Mus musculus: one gene and its partners. The protein of the gene in region 1 purifies or fractionates together with the protein of each later gene. This does not show direct contact. Links are inferred from orthologs where the notes say so. Each region holds a gene or a part of one and is shown on either strand. Other genes may lie near its edges.

Region 1 (4,236 bases):
AAGTTTGATCCCTGCACTAAATAAAGGAGGCACAGTAGCCCGCACAAGTCCTAAAAGAGGTAGAGGAAAGATTAGGAACTCAAGACCAAGTGAAACCTGAGGCAAAAGGTGGCTCTAAGAAGCCAGTGTTCATTCTCTCCTGGTCTGAAGACTGGGAAGGGTTTGAGGAAAGAGCATCTGAAATGGTCTTCCAAGCCCTGGCAACCCCTGCAGAACCTCAGTGTCTCAGCACAGTTCCTGCTGTCTGTAACTACCCATCCATCCCGGAGTGCTTTAATGCCAACTTCTTCTTGTTCTGTAAAGATCCAAAGTGCCACCTCACTCAGTGCACATCACACTGCAATAAAAAAAGTTTGCTGAATGAACAGAAAGAGGCAGGCTGTTTATTATTAGGAGGAAAGTAAGGAACCATGTGTGGAATTGACAGAAACACCAAGAGCACAAGGCCAGACTGAGGCTTCATCCACACGGTGGGACTCTCTTAATGTCAATGAGGTCTTTAACCTGGAGACTGACTAGATGTATGGACTGTTGACATAACTGTCCAGGCAACCATTTGCCTAATTAGAATGGTGGATAGGCATGAGCCTGGGGTCACTCTATTAAATCCTGAACACCCACAGTATACTAGGCCTTCTGCCATCTCTCAGCTTGGTGGGAGATAATTTCAGTGTGTTTATAGAGACACAAAGTATCAGGGAAGACCTGGTGGCATTGAAGCTGGGTTTTTTGCTTGTTTTCTTTCTCTTTTAAAAAGATTTATTTATTTATATGAGTACATTGTAGCTGTCTTCAGACACACCAGAAGAGGGCATCAGATTCTATTATAGATGGTTGTGAGCCACCATGCGGTTGCTGGGAATTGAACTCAGGACCTTTGGAAGAGCAGTCAGTGCTTTTAACCACTGAGCCATGTCTCCTGCCCATTTCTCTTGTTTTTTTTTTTTTTTTTTTTTTTTTTTTTTTTTTTTTTTTTCCTGAGACAGGGTTTTCCCTGTAAAATAGCTCTGGCTGTCCTAGAACTCAGAGGACTCCACACACCTCTGCTTTCCAAGTGAGGGATTAAAGGCATGTGCCACCACGCCCGGCTTTGGGCTGGTTCTTAAAGGATAAGTTAGCAATTCAGAGAGCTGGAGGAAGAAAGCACCTGACAAAGGGCACAGCCAGAAGAGCTGAGGAGCAGGAGGAAGAACATGAGACTGGAAGAATAACACCGCATGGTCTCCTAAGTCCTTACATACTATTTTTTGGTTTGTTTTTGGACAGGATCTCACTATGTAGCTCTGGCAGGCCTGGAACATGCAATTTATTTTACACTGGCCTTGAACTCACAGAGACTGTAGGTAGCGGCATGTGTTTTTAATTCCAGAATTTGGGACGAAGAGAAGAATTTGAGTTAGGGGCACATACTGAGACTGTCTCAAAAACGGAGAACCACTAAACACATACACACACACCTTTTGAACCAGGAAGAAGACGGGCTCTATGTTGCATTAGCAGCTGATGGACCCATCCTCCTTCCTGAAAAACCCGAGGTCTGTAAATCCATCAAGAGGGGTAGAAATGTTTATCTGCATAGCCTCCTTAACTCAAAGACTCGTCATCAACCTACCAACTAGGTTGGAGGAAACAAAAGTCATCCTAGGAATCCGCCTAACAGTGCTGGGTCAAGGACTTTCGTATGCGGAACACCAAGTGCTAACCAACAGAAACAGTCCTCGGGAGAGGCACCAATGATGATGCTGGGAAGGAGGGGGTTCTACAGCGGACTGGGGCCTTCTAACTGGATGTATGGCCTTGGGTGGATCACTTCCTCCTTTGTACCTCATGTTCTCTAGACTTAAGAGTAAAGGAGCTGAGAATTCTGGGTGAACCAAGTCTCTCTGTAGCTTTGTATTCTCAAGAGCCCTCCAACTCTTTCCTGCCTTGGGCACGTGCTTCGTGAATACCAGAGTAAATGACGCCTGATCTCTCAATTTACAGGAGTGGAAACTAGGGCCTGGCGGGTTTGGCAGCTCAGACATAAGAAGCCAGTCAGTGCTGGGAGACCTTAGAGCAACAGATTGGTCTGGATTCTTCTGGGTTGCTGCTTACAGGTAACAACAGGTAGTGAGTGGTCCTCAACGTGGCTAGAAATGACGGAAGAAAGGAAGCTCTTTCATAGCGGGTCCCGGTTTCGTGACCTGATGTGGGTTCCTGGATCGAGTAACCTGTCTTAATTTTCCGTTTGATAAGACGTGGACAGTAAGGGAACCCGACATATAAAAATGGCTACGTTAAGTTTAAAAGCGTGCCTAGTACACAGAAGGCGCTCACTAAATGCTCCTGCCAGATGCACTTCAGCACGCCCACTCTAGCCCAAGCGGTAATTTTTCGGGATAGCTAAAAAGCCTGGGCGGGATAGAACCACGTGGGGAGTGCTAGGAGCGACGGTGTCTAATTCCTAACAGTCCCCGATTCCCAGCCAGAGACAACGTGCTCCACACTGGCCAGGCCCACGTGAGGCCCTCCGAGGCCCGGGTTCGGGCTTCACCTTGACCTTGGACCGGCCTCGTTCCTCACGGAGCCTCTGCCTCTCTCGTCTGGAAACCGCCGCGTGAGGCCCACTAAAGGGCCCACAGCCGCTCGGTGGAGACCACTTGATCGCGTGTCTCTCGCAGGCCCGTCCCGGCCGGTCTCCATGGCAGCGCCCGACTCACCTTCCTGCCGGCAGTAGGACATGGTTGTTCCCGACAGTCCTCTGCAGCTCGCAGAGGCAGCGGGCGCGGCTGGAGCGGATACACCTTCTCGCCGTGACCTCCCTCGCCGCTTCTCAGGCCTGGCGGGTGGCACTGAGGCCCGCACAGACCCGCCCCCTCCAGGCCTGCCCGCCGCGCGCCTGCCTCCGCGCGTCCTAAGCACCAGAACCGCTTCTCAGTCGAAAACTACACTGACCAGCAGCCCTTGCGCCTCTCCAACTAGACCGATACTACATTTCCCAGAAATCTTGCAGCGCGCACGCGCACCAGTGAAATACAGTGGTTTGTAATTTTGTGGCGAACGTGTCAGACGTCGGACTACATTTCCCAGCAGCCCTTAAGATGCGCACGCGCAGACAACTTGAGGCTTAGGCAGGGCGGTAACTTTTGTCCTGCGTCCCGCCAGGTCCTGGATTCCACGAGAAGTCTTGCAGCTCTGTGGCAGACAGGAGGTCACCGTATTCTGCGTTCCGGTCGTCAGCCCAATTCCTAGCGGAATAGAGCAAGACGGCGGCAGCGAACCAAGCCCACCATGGCAGCGAACGTAAGTGCTTCCTGATGCCCGGGTGACACCATCATCCGGGCCGCTTTTTCCCTGGATCCGCGCTGGGTCTTACAGGGGTGCTACCCCAGTGGGTGCAGCTGCCCTCAGCTCTCTGAGCTTCTCCATCTCGGGCTGCGCGTTTGTGGGCCTCAGCAATTAGTCGAGTCCGCTCGTGCACGGCTGCTTCTTCCACTCCTAGTTTCTCTCTGGGCCCCTGGGGATACGAAACTTGGGGAACTTGGGGAACTGAAGGACCACGGGGAAAGTGTCTATTGGTGAGCAGACTGATGAGGTGATCCTGCCCAGGTGGAACTGTCCAGCAAATGCTTCTTTGGTCTTCGCTCCCTAGGGGGTGTGTACTCAAAGGCTGTGTGATGCTACTGTAGCTGGACTAGCCTGGCTGGATGACGTGGAGAGGGAGACTTTTCTCTGCTGCCGGGTTCCTGGTGCACTGATTTGGTTAGAGCCCCTAGCTGAGGATAGTTCACCCAGACCTCTGGCCTCTTCCTACTGCAACTAGTCCTTAAGAATTTTCCTAGTGAATCTTAACATTCATTCAACAAACGGAGCAACACCACCTACTAGGGGACTGGGTGTGGGAGAAGCCGGTGAGTCACCAGTGCCTCTGGTGAAAGCGCCTCTGAAGCCATCTCAGGAGCACTGCCAGCCCCAGGCACACCCTTACTCCCTCCTTGGTAGAGTGTCACTACAGCCCTCCTTGGGCCTGTTACACCCTCTTCCCAGGCCCCTCCTCAGTCCGGCAGACTTCACCTCCTGGGAGGCCGGAGTTTGTTTCACCCACTGTGCAAGCAATATCTGTTTGGCATATTGTCTGGCCCTGGCAGGGGAAGAGAACCAAAGGTTAGGAATGCTGCACTGGAGCCAGAGGAGAAGGCAACCAGCAGGCCAGCCTGGCAAGAGCAGGCAGACCCCTTCTGATCCATCTCATCAGCG
Region 2 (4,305 bases), on another chromosome or scaffold:
CATATGCCACCACGCCCAGCTTGAGCTGTGATTCTTCATGAGTCTTTGGCAGGAAAAGAGAAAACCAAAAGACCAAACTCTTCTTACCTGAAGCCTCTGGTGTTCTAAGAGTTTTCTTTGAGGCTGTTTGGCTTGTAACAGGTCGGGAAGAAGGTTCATCCTCTACAGCACCAACAAGAGGTAAAATTCAAGTTAGATGACCTGGGAGAGACCATGGCACACAGTATGCATATTTACCAGTAATCTATACAGAGAGATGCAAGTATTCAACTTCTCTAGGTTCAAAACTTGGGAATTAAACCAGTTAGAAATCCTATTAAGACAGAGTATGATGAGGGCTGGGGAGAGTTCAGTGTTTACGGGCATTTGCTGCTCTTTCCGAGGACTTCCGAAGTCCAAAAGGCTTACGATATTCTGTAGCTTCAGCTCCAAGGGACCCAACACCATCTTCTGGCTTCCAAGGCTACCTGTACTCACGTGCACATACTCACACAGGTACGTGCAGCTGCAAACCATGGAAGTGAAACAACATACAAACCACTACTTGTTGCTTTACGACAAAAATGCTACTTTAGCAAGTTAAAAGGTTAGGCCCTTGGTCCTGTGAAGGCTCTATGCCCCAGTGTAGGGGAATGCCAGGGCCAGGGAGAGGGATTGGATTGGTTGGGGGGGGGGGGGGATATAGGGGAGTTTTCGGAGGGGAAATGAGGAAAGGGGATAACATTTGAAATGTAAATAAAGAAAATATAAAAAATTAAAAGGTAGGTTCAAGAGTCAGGTAAAAGAAATGTTTAAATCCTCTAAAAATGTATAAAAGGTAAACTGAATTTAGGTGCAGGAGGCTCTGTGGGAAAGTCAATAAAAAGTAACAGTTACATTGCCTCCCATGTGCAAACACTGTCTCAGTTTCTGAGACAGAATTAACACAAGTACCTAAATTTCGACCAGGCATACATGCGTGACAGGTTCCTTTTTTTTTCTCCCAACTTTGCCATCTTAAAAGAAATGCTGACATGTATAAGCAAATAAACTGTCTCCTTACATCCAAAAGAGCATGCACATCTCTAGCATAAAGTTTCCCAAATGAACAGATCTTCAAGTGTGTCAGGACTTTAAGGGCAAGTAGGTAAATCTGCAAGCCAGTTTACTGTGCTCTAAGCTTTAAATCCACTCCTGTTCAGATGCATCAAATGTATTAGGGAGGCCATCCCACTGTGACTCTAACCCTCAGAATTTTACCTCATAATTAGGTGACTGACATGGGGCTTACTGGAACCACCTGTGACTCAGTTATATCCGAGTGCAGGGAATAAGAGGATGGCTTGAAGAATTTGGTTCATCTGTGTGACTTAACTAAAACTATAGTACACACCCTGTTGGCATCTGGGGCTTCATATATAAGCTTTACTAATAAATAGAACCTTGTTTTGTTTCAGTAGTTTGTCAGTCTTGACTTGTTTAGCTACTTAAGATTACCGTGATGGCCTCCAATCTGGGGGGAAAGTCTGGCAGAGACCAGACTCTGTATTTGGAGTAATGTCACCAACCCATTCATTAAAGTCAGCTACTCCTCGTAGCATCCGCCTAGAAATGATCTCGTTTTCCCAATCTTGGTGAAAAAAAAAAAAAACGAAAGAAACCGACTGGAAAGTTAACTTAAAAACAGGATTTTCAGCTGGGGACTTGGGGCCCCCGAGATTTAAAAAAAAAAAAAAAAAAAAAAAAAAGGAAATGGAAGTGGCTTCAGTAGAAACTTCAGAGGACGGAAATGAAACCGAGCGCAGAGTAGTTTGGGGCTCCGACAATGGCTTAGCCGCCGACCTCTAGCAAAAGCCTACAGAAAGAGGAGACCTAGACCCCCCAAACTGAAGCTCCAGGACTAGGCAGAGCTGCCCGCCTCCGCTCGGGTCACTTCGCACCACCACCTTCCCGCGCGGCCCACTGCGTCCTTCCCTCTTGAGGGTCCGGGTGGACTCAATCCGGGAGTGCGCGCCCAAAGGGCCGCAGAAATCACCAGGACCCAGGCGGGGCCGGAGCGGGGCCGGCCTCCACGGGGGCGCGCCTGCCGCCGCGTGCCCGCCGCCGCGCGCGCTCCCGAGCCCGCAGCCGAGACTGTTACCTTCGCGGTCCTCACTGGAGGACGGAGAGTCCCGTAACCCTCGGCCGCTCGTGGCCGGAGACAGCTGCGGCTGCTGTGAGTGCTGCTCAAGGCGAGCAGACCTCCGCGTCTTCATCTCCTCGGCTTCCTGGGCTCGCCGCTGCCTCCGTGGTCGAGAGCGAAGGTTGTAAGCGCTTTCTCTCACTTCCTCTCCCGCAGAAGCCGGCCGGAACTTTTCTGGCGGGGTTCGTCTCCCCCCCGGAGACCTTTCTTTGGCCGCCCGGGGCTCGAAGTCGCCGTACACTTCTGCCGGCTCCTCTGAAAACCTCACTTCCCGTCGTCCGCGGCGCGACGGGTGAGCTCCGTACGCAGGCGCGTCACTGCTGTCGCCATTTCGCGGGTCGAGCCTCCGCCTTCCCTCCCGGATGGGGGCTCTGGGTGTGACGTAGATGGCCCAACCTTCTCCGGGCCCCTCGGCCTGCCACCTTTCTCCCGCCATAGTTGTTTACGTAGCTGGTAGTCGGTTCGTGGCGATAGATTGGCCGCAGATAGATTCCGCTGCGGGTAGTGGCGATGGCTTCGGGGAGGTTGTCGCAGTGGTCAGGGAGGCAGTTGAGAGTCGCCGGGGCCGCCGCCTGCGTCCTCGCTCGTGTGCCACCAACCAGCCTCCAGGCCCATGGTGTGTCCTGAGGGCTGTCGGAGAGGCAGTGCCCGAGCTGGGTCAGCTGCTGCGGGTCACTCCCGCCTCCTGGCTGAAGGCACCAAAGAGGAGGAGAAGGGGGAGGAGGACGTCTCTGTCCTTGGCCTTGGAGGGAAAGGTGGGGGCGACCAGGAGGTGGTAGGACAAGTGGCCTGTGCCAAGCTGCTGATGGCCAGTTGCCCACCACCGGGGGCGCTGGTCCTGGCTCCCAGAGGCTTTGGGAAAGGGCAAGTTTCAGTCCTTGATCCCAAGCTGTTGCGCAGTTCCCCTGCTACTTTGGCCACTCCTTTTCAAATGTCCCTGGGAGGAGAAATGATCAGAAAGGCAATTCTGCATGTCATCTTATGGCGAAAATTATAGTTTCATGGACCTTTATGAAATTGCTTTTACCCAGTTTAAAATTTTTATTCACCTGTTGACCCTTTAAAATTGTGTTTAGTTACACTCTTGGGGTGTGTTTCCATTTTTGAGTCGTAGCCATATCAACCATATTCTTGAATTTTCACGTGAATGGTATACCAATAAGCTATACCCTAGCCCTAAAAAAAAAAAAAATCGATTTTGAGTTTTTATTTGGAAGCCACATAACAGTGATTTTGAAAAAAAACTTAAAAGTATTTGCCTTTTTCCAGTATTTTAAATAATGACCTTAAGTTGTTACTCAAACTTAGACAAATTCCCAGTTACTAGAATTTTCACAAATAGTCTATAAATTTGGTCAGCAACACAGATGACTCAAGAGTCATGTTTGGAGCTTCATTTAGCATTGTTTATTAACTACAAAGAAGGGGAGCCATAAGGAGACAGCTGCCCTTTTTTTAAAGATGTGTGTGTGTGTGTGTGTGTGTGTGTAAGTGAGTGAAAGGAGGGAGGGAGGGTGATCTCTGCCTGTCCTGGAACTGTAGACTAGACTGGCCTCAGCCTCACAGAGATCAACCTGCCGCTGCTCCCCAAACGCTAGGATTAAGGGTGTGGGCCACCACACTTGGTAGCACTTTTTTAGAAAACAAAACTTAAGGAAAAACGAAAGTGATACTCATTCGTGGTAGCCTGAAAACTGGGTGTGGCTTTTTTTTTTCTACAAAACGCTGAGAAGTACTGATAACTTGGTAATGTTTGGCTTGTGTCTTTTCCAGTAATGCTTTGTTTGTAAAGTGCCTATTTACACAGTCAACAATCACAAAAATTCTTTAATAGATGTACAGCAGTGAAAGGATATAAATTTTTGTAGTGTTTATATTCTAAGCTCATAAGGCAGTGTGTGCAACAGATGACTAAAGACACCTGGGTGCTGGCTTGTTAAACTCTGGTTTGAAGGATACATGAAAAAGAAAGTGAAGAGGTTCTATACATAATTGGTCAATCAGAGAAAATGAGAGGTTACAAAGATTATTGGATAATTGGCATGTGCTTTGTTTTGTAATTAAAAGTACTTATAAAGTAGTTTTATGAGTGGCTTTTTCAAAGAAAAAATAAGGATGTTAAAGTTTAGAGGCAGTTAACTTCG
Region 3 (3,378 bases), on another chromosome or scaffold:
TTTTTGTTGTTTAAGAAAGGGTTTCATACTATGTCCCAGTCTGGTTTACAGTTTACTATGCAGACATGAATGGCCTTGATTTTAAGGCGATCCTTCTTCCTCAACGAAGGATGACAGGTGTAAACTACCACAGCTGTTTTCTGGATCTTTTTGGTCACCAAATACTTCCAAACTTTCCCCAGAAGCTGTGACAAAGGGCTGGGTCATAGGGCACATGGAAATAGTAAGTAAGCAACACATGTGGTTGGAAGATGGGTCCTAACAGCAGCAGCAGCAGATTGGACCAAACAGAACTTACTGTCCCTGTCTCTATCTCTGAGCCAGGTTCTGTATTGAGCACCATCGTAGAGCAAAGCCCCTCACAGAAAAGTGGTTTGTGTTCTGGACTTGGGGAAAACACCAGCACCTTTGCAAAGAGAGTTAAGGGCTAGGGCTGACCTGTGTGAGGTGAGTACTTTCAGCATTTTGTGTTTTGAAGATAAGAAAGGGAAAAACTGCAGGTCTTCTTACCAACAGGATATATGGTAGCTAGCAGACACAGATCTTGCAAAACAACCTTTATTGAAACACCAGAGGCCATGGGGATGGGCCCTAAGGTTTTGGTTCTGGAGTCAAGATTCTTTCTTCAACATGTCTGGCCTGGGGCCCTAGTGGCTGGGGAGACAAAGTGAGGGGCTCCCACAGTACTCAGACCAGGACCAGGACATTCCTGGTAGCCCAAAGGGATTCAGGAGCTTCAGAGAGAGGCCCCTCATGGAGCTGCTCAGGGTCCCCACAGCACATGTGAGTACGGAGCTGGGAACACCTCTTCCATTGGACTGTCCTAGGGCTTTTCTTGTCTAGGCAGGTGGAGGTCAGAAATTGCCCCTCTGGGCACCAGAGATAAAAGACATCTGAGGCCACGAAGAACAAAGATGCTTTAGGACAGACATGTTGAGGACTAAGCAGCCATAGGCCACGGCTGAAACAGGCACTCGTCAGCTGTCCTTGCCTCCACTACTCTTCTGGTCTGAAGCTGTGGCTTTAGTCAGGTTCCCAGCTTCTCTTTTGAGTACACTAAGCAGAGTCTGAGAGCTCTCCAGGATCTGGGGCCAGAGAAATAAAAGGATGTTATTTCTCTGGTAGGAAGGTCCCATTGCCTCAGGCTCTAATAATGGAGGATGGAAATCTCAATTTGGTCATCTGTGCTGTAGCCAACTGGTTATGGAGTAAAACCATCCTCCCTTCTGCACCTGTCCCAGAGCTCTTCCACCCTGCAAAGCCAGGCTGGGTTAATTCAGGCCCACACCGTGTACTCTGTCCAATACACCAATGCTCACTTTTGGAACCCACAGACAGCCCACTGTTCCACCTACAGCCTCTGAACCACAATGGGCCCTACCTAGCCTCAGATGGTAGTAAGGCACTCACAACAGACATCTGAGAGCCCCACCTTGAGGTAGGCGGCCTCGGTTTCTGCGATGGTCCGGTCAAACTCGTTGCGAGAGGCGATCTTGCGCGCCAGGTTCTCGTTGACGCGGGCCAACTTCTCCGTGAGCTGCCTCACCTCATTCTGTAGCCGCTGCTTTTCGTCCTCCTCTTGCTGGATCTGCCGGCACAGCTCCTCTCGCTTCTGACACAACTCCTCGATGCCTAGGGTGGGTGGGAAGACAGAGCTGTGGGTGGGGACTCGTGAGCTTCCGACCCCAACCAGCAATGACAGAGGGGCAGGCCGCAGAGCGGGGCTCGTGAGGCATGTCCACGCAGCCTCCCGAGTGGGTCGGCCGGCCCCGGCCCGCGGCCTTCAGTGCCCGACGCTCACACTTGACCAACTCGTTGTTGTAGTTCTGCAGCGCCGCGCCCTGTTGGGTCATGGTCTGCACCGCGTCCGGAAGCCTCAACCGCCGCCTGCACAGCTAAGTCCGCACCTGCGCACTGCCCACAAAGCGCGCGGGCTGGTGAACGTCACGGCTGCGCCACAGGTCCGCGCTTGCGTCATCACCGTGCGCTCTACTGGGCGGGTCTGTTTTGTGGACAGTGATGGAGGCCGAGGGTGTGGCGGTGGCGGCGGCGGCGGCGGCGGCGGCGGCGGCGGCGACAATTATTGCCTCCGATGACTGCGACTCTAGGCCTGGACAGGAGCTCTTGGTTGCCTGGAATACTGTGAGCACCGGTCTGGTGCCGCCGGCCGCGCTGGGGCTGGTGAGGCCGGGGAAAGGTTGTCGGGCCTGTGCAGATTTCCCGCGACTTTGCATACTTTAGGGGGTCCACCCTTGGGGCCTCACAGCTCCGTGGCCTGCCTGTAGTGGGCTTGCCTCCTTCCTCAGCTACCTGATTTGTTTGGTTCCCTGGCAGCTCTTCGGTTGCTGGGTTTTTCCATGCCCCTCCTCTCCCTTTACCCCTATTCCGCCCCTCTGCTCACGGTTTTCCGTGCTCCAGGCGTCTTCCCGGACCAGCGGTGCAGTCCCACCAAAGGAGGAAGAGCTTCGTGCAGCGGTGGAGGTTCTGAGGGGACACGGTCTGCACTCTGTCCTGGAGGAGTGGTTCGTGGAAGTGCTGCAGAACGACCTTCAAGGCAATATTGCCACGGAGTTCTGGAATGCCATCGCTCTGCGAGAAAACTCTGTCGATGAGCCCCAGTGCCTTGGGCTGCTCCTGGATGCGTTCGGTCTGCTGGAAAGCCGCTTGGATCCCTATCTGCATAGCCTAGAACTCCTAGAGAAATGGACTCGTCTGGGCTTGCTGATGGGCGCTGGAGCTCAGGGGCTTCGGGAGAAAGTTCACACTATGTTGCGGGGAGTCCTGTTTTTTTCCACCCCTAGGACATTCCAGGAGATGGTCCAGCGCCTCTATGGTCGTTTCTTGAGAGTCTATATGCAGAGCAAGAGAAAAGGAGAAGGGGGCACAGACCCGGAACTAGAGGGTGAGCTAGATAGCCGGTATGCCCGCCGCAGGTACTACCGACTTTTGCAGAGTCCTCTGTGCGCAGGATGTGGCAGTGACAAGCAGCAGTGCTGGTGCCGGCAGGCACTGGAGCAGTTCAACCAGCTGAGCCAGGTCCTGTGAGTACTGCTTCCTAACCATGCTGCGGTTTCTCTGCAAGCTTCATTAGTCCTGAATTCAAAAGACCTCTCAATAGAGCTTATAGACTAACTGGCGATGTCTTTTTTGCCCATACTTGTAACCAGGGATTATTGTTCATCACGTTTATACTGTCCTGGACATAGGCATAGGGTGTGTGTGCAGTATCTTTATGGGGAGAGCCCTCCTAGGTAAGGGACAGATGTGTGTTGTGGGTTCTCCATGAGCGGGGATCTTTTCTAGGCATAGGCTCAGTCTGCTGGAGCGGGTTTGTGCTGAGGCCGTGACAACCACCCTGCATCAGGTGACCCGGGAAAG

What was found. The genes of interacting proteins can lie anywhere in the genome.
Region 2: the proteins of Chchd4 (region 1) and Tor1aip1 purify together in Homo sapiens (co-immunoprecipitation; 3 studies listed by BioGRID and IntAct, with this or other methods). This does not show direct contact. The link is inferred for Mus musculus from reciprocal best matches to the Homo sapiens genes CHCHD4 and TOR1AIP1.
Region 3: the proteins of Chchd4 (region 1) and Ssna1 purify together in Homo sapiens (co-immunoprecipitation; 3 studies listed by BioGRID and IntAct, with this or other methods). This does not show direct contact. The link is inferred for Mus musculus from reciprocal best matches to the Homo sapiens genes CHCHD4 and SSNA1.

What each region holds. Positions count from the first base shown.
Region 1 is NC_000072.6:91,470,617-91,474,852, forward strand, and holds the start of Chchd4 (mitochondrial intermembrane space import and assembly protein 40), read right to left. Parts: upstream 2,808-4,236; 5' UTR 2,722-2,807; coding exon 2,700-2,721; intron 1-2,699. Other genes in the region: Tmem43 (transmembrane protein 43), read left to right, coding at 3,271-3,282.
Region 2 is NC_000067.6:156,033,639-156,037,943, forward strand, and holds the start of Tor1aip1 (torsin-1A-interacting protein 1), read right to left. Parts: upstream 2,843-4,305; 5' UTR 2,598-2,842; coding exon 2,120-2,597; exon of another isoform or gene 2,026-2,119; intron 1,570-2,025; exon of another isoform or gene 1,552-1,569; coding exon of another isoform or gene 1,548-1,551; intron 1,180-1,547; exon of another isoform or gene 1,043-1,179; intron 163-1,042; coding exon 88-162; intron 1-87. UniProt on the Homo sapiens protein: Required for nuclear membrane integrity. Induces TOR1A and TOR1B ATPase activity and is required for their location on the nuclear membrane. Binds to A- and B-type lamins. Possible role in membrane attachment and assembly of the nuclear lamina.
Region 3 is NC_000068.7:25,270,497-25,273,874, forward strand, and holds Ssna1 (Sjoegren syndrome nuclear autoantigen 1 homolog), read right to left. Parts: upstream 1,923-3,378; 5' UTR 1,854-1,922; coding exon 1,802-1,853; intron 1,633-1,801; coding exon 1,433-1,632; intron 1,086-1,432; coding exon 978-1,085; 3' UTR 543-977; downstream 1-542. Other genes in the region: Anapc2 (anaphase-promoting complex subunit 2), read left to right, coding at 2,020-2,181, 2,419-3,041, 3,304-3,378. UniProt on the Homo sapiens protein: Microtubule-binding protein which stabilizes dynamic microtubules by slowing growth and shrinkage at both plus and minus ends and serves as a sensor of microtubule damage, protecting microtubules from the microtubule-severing enzyme SPAST.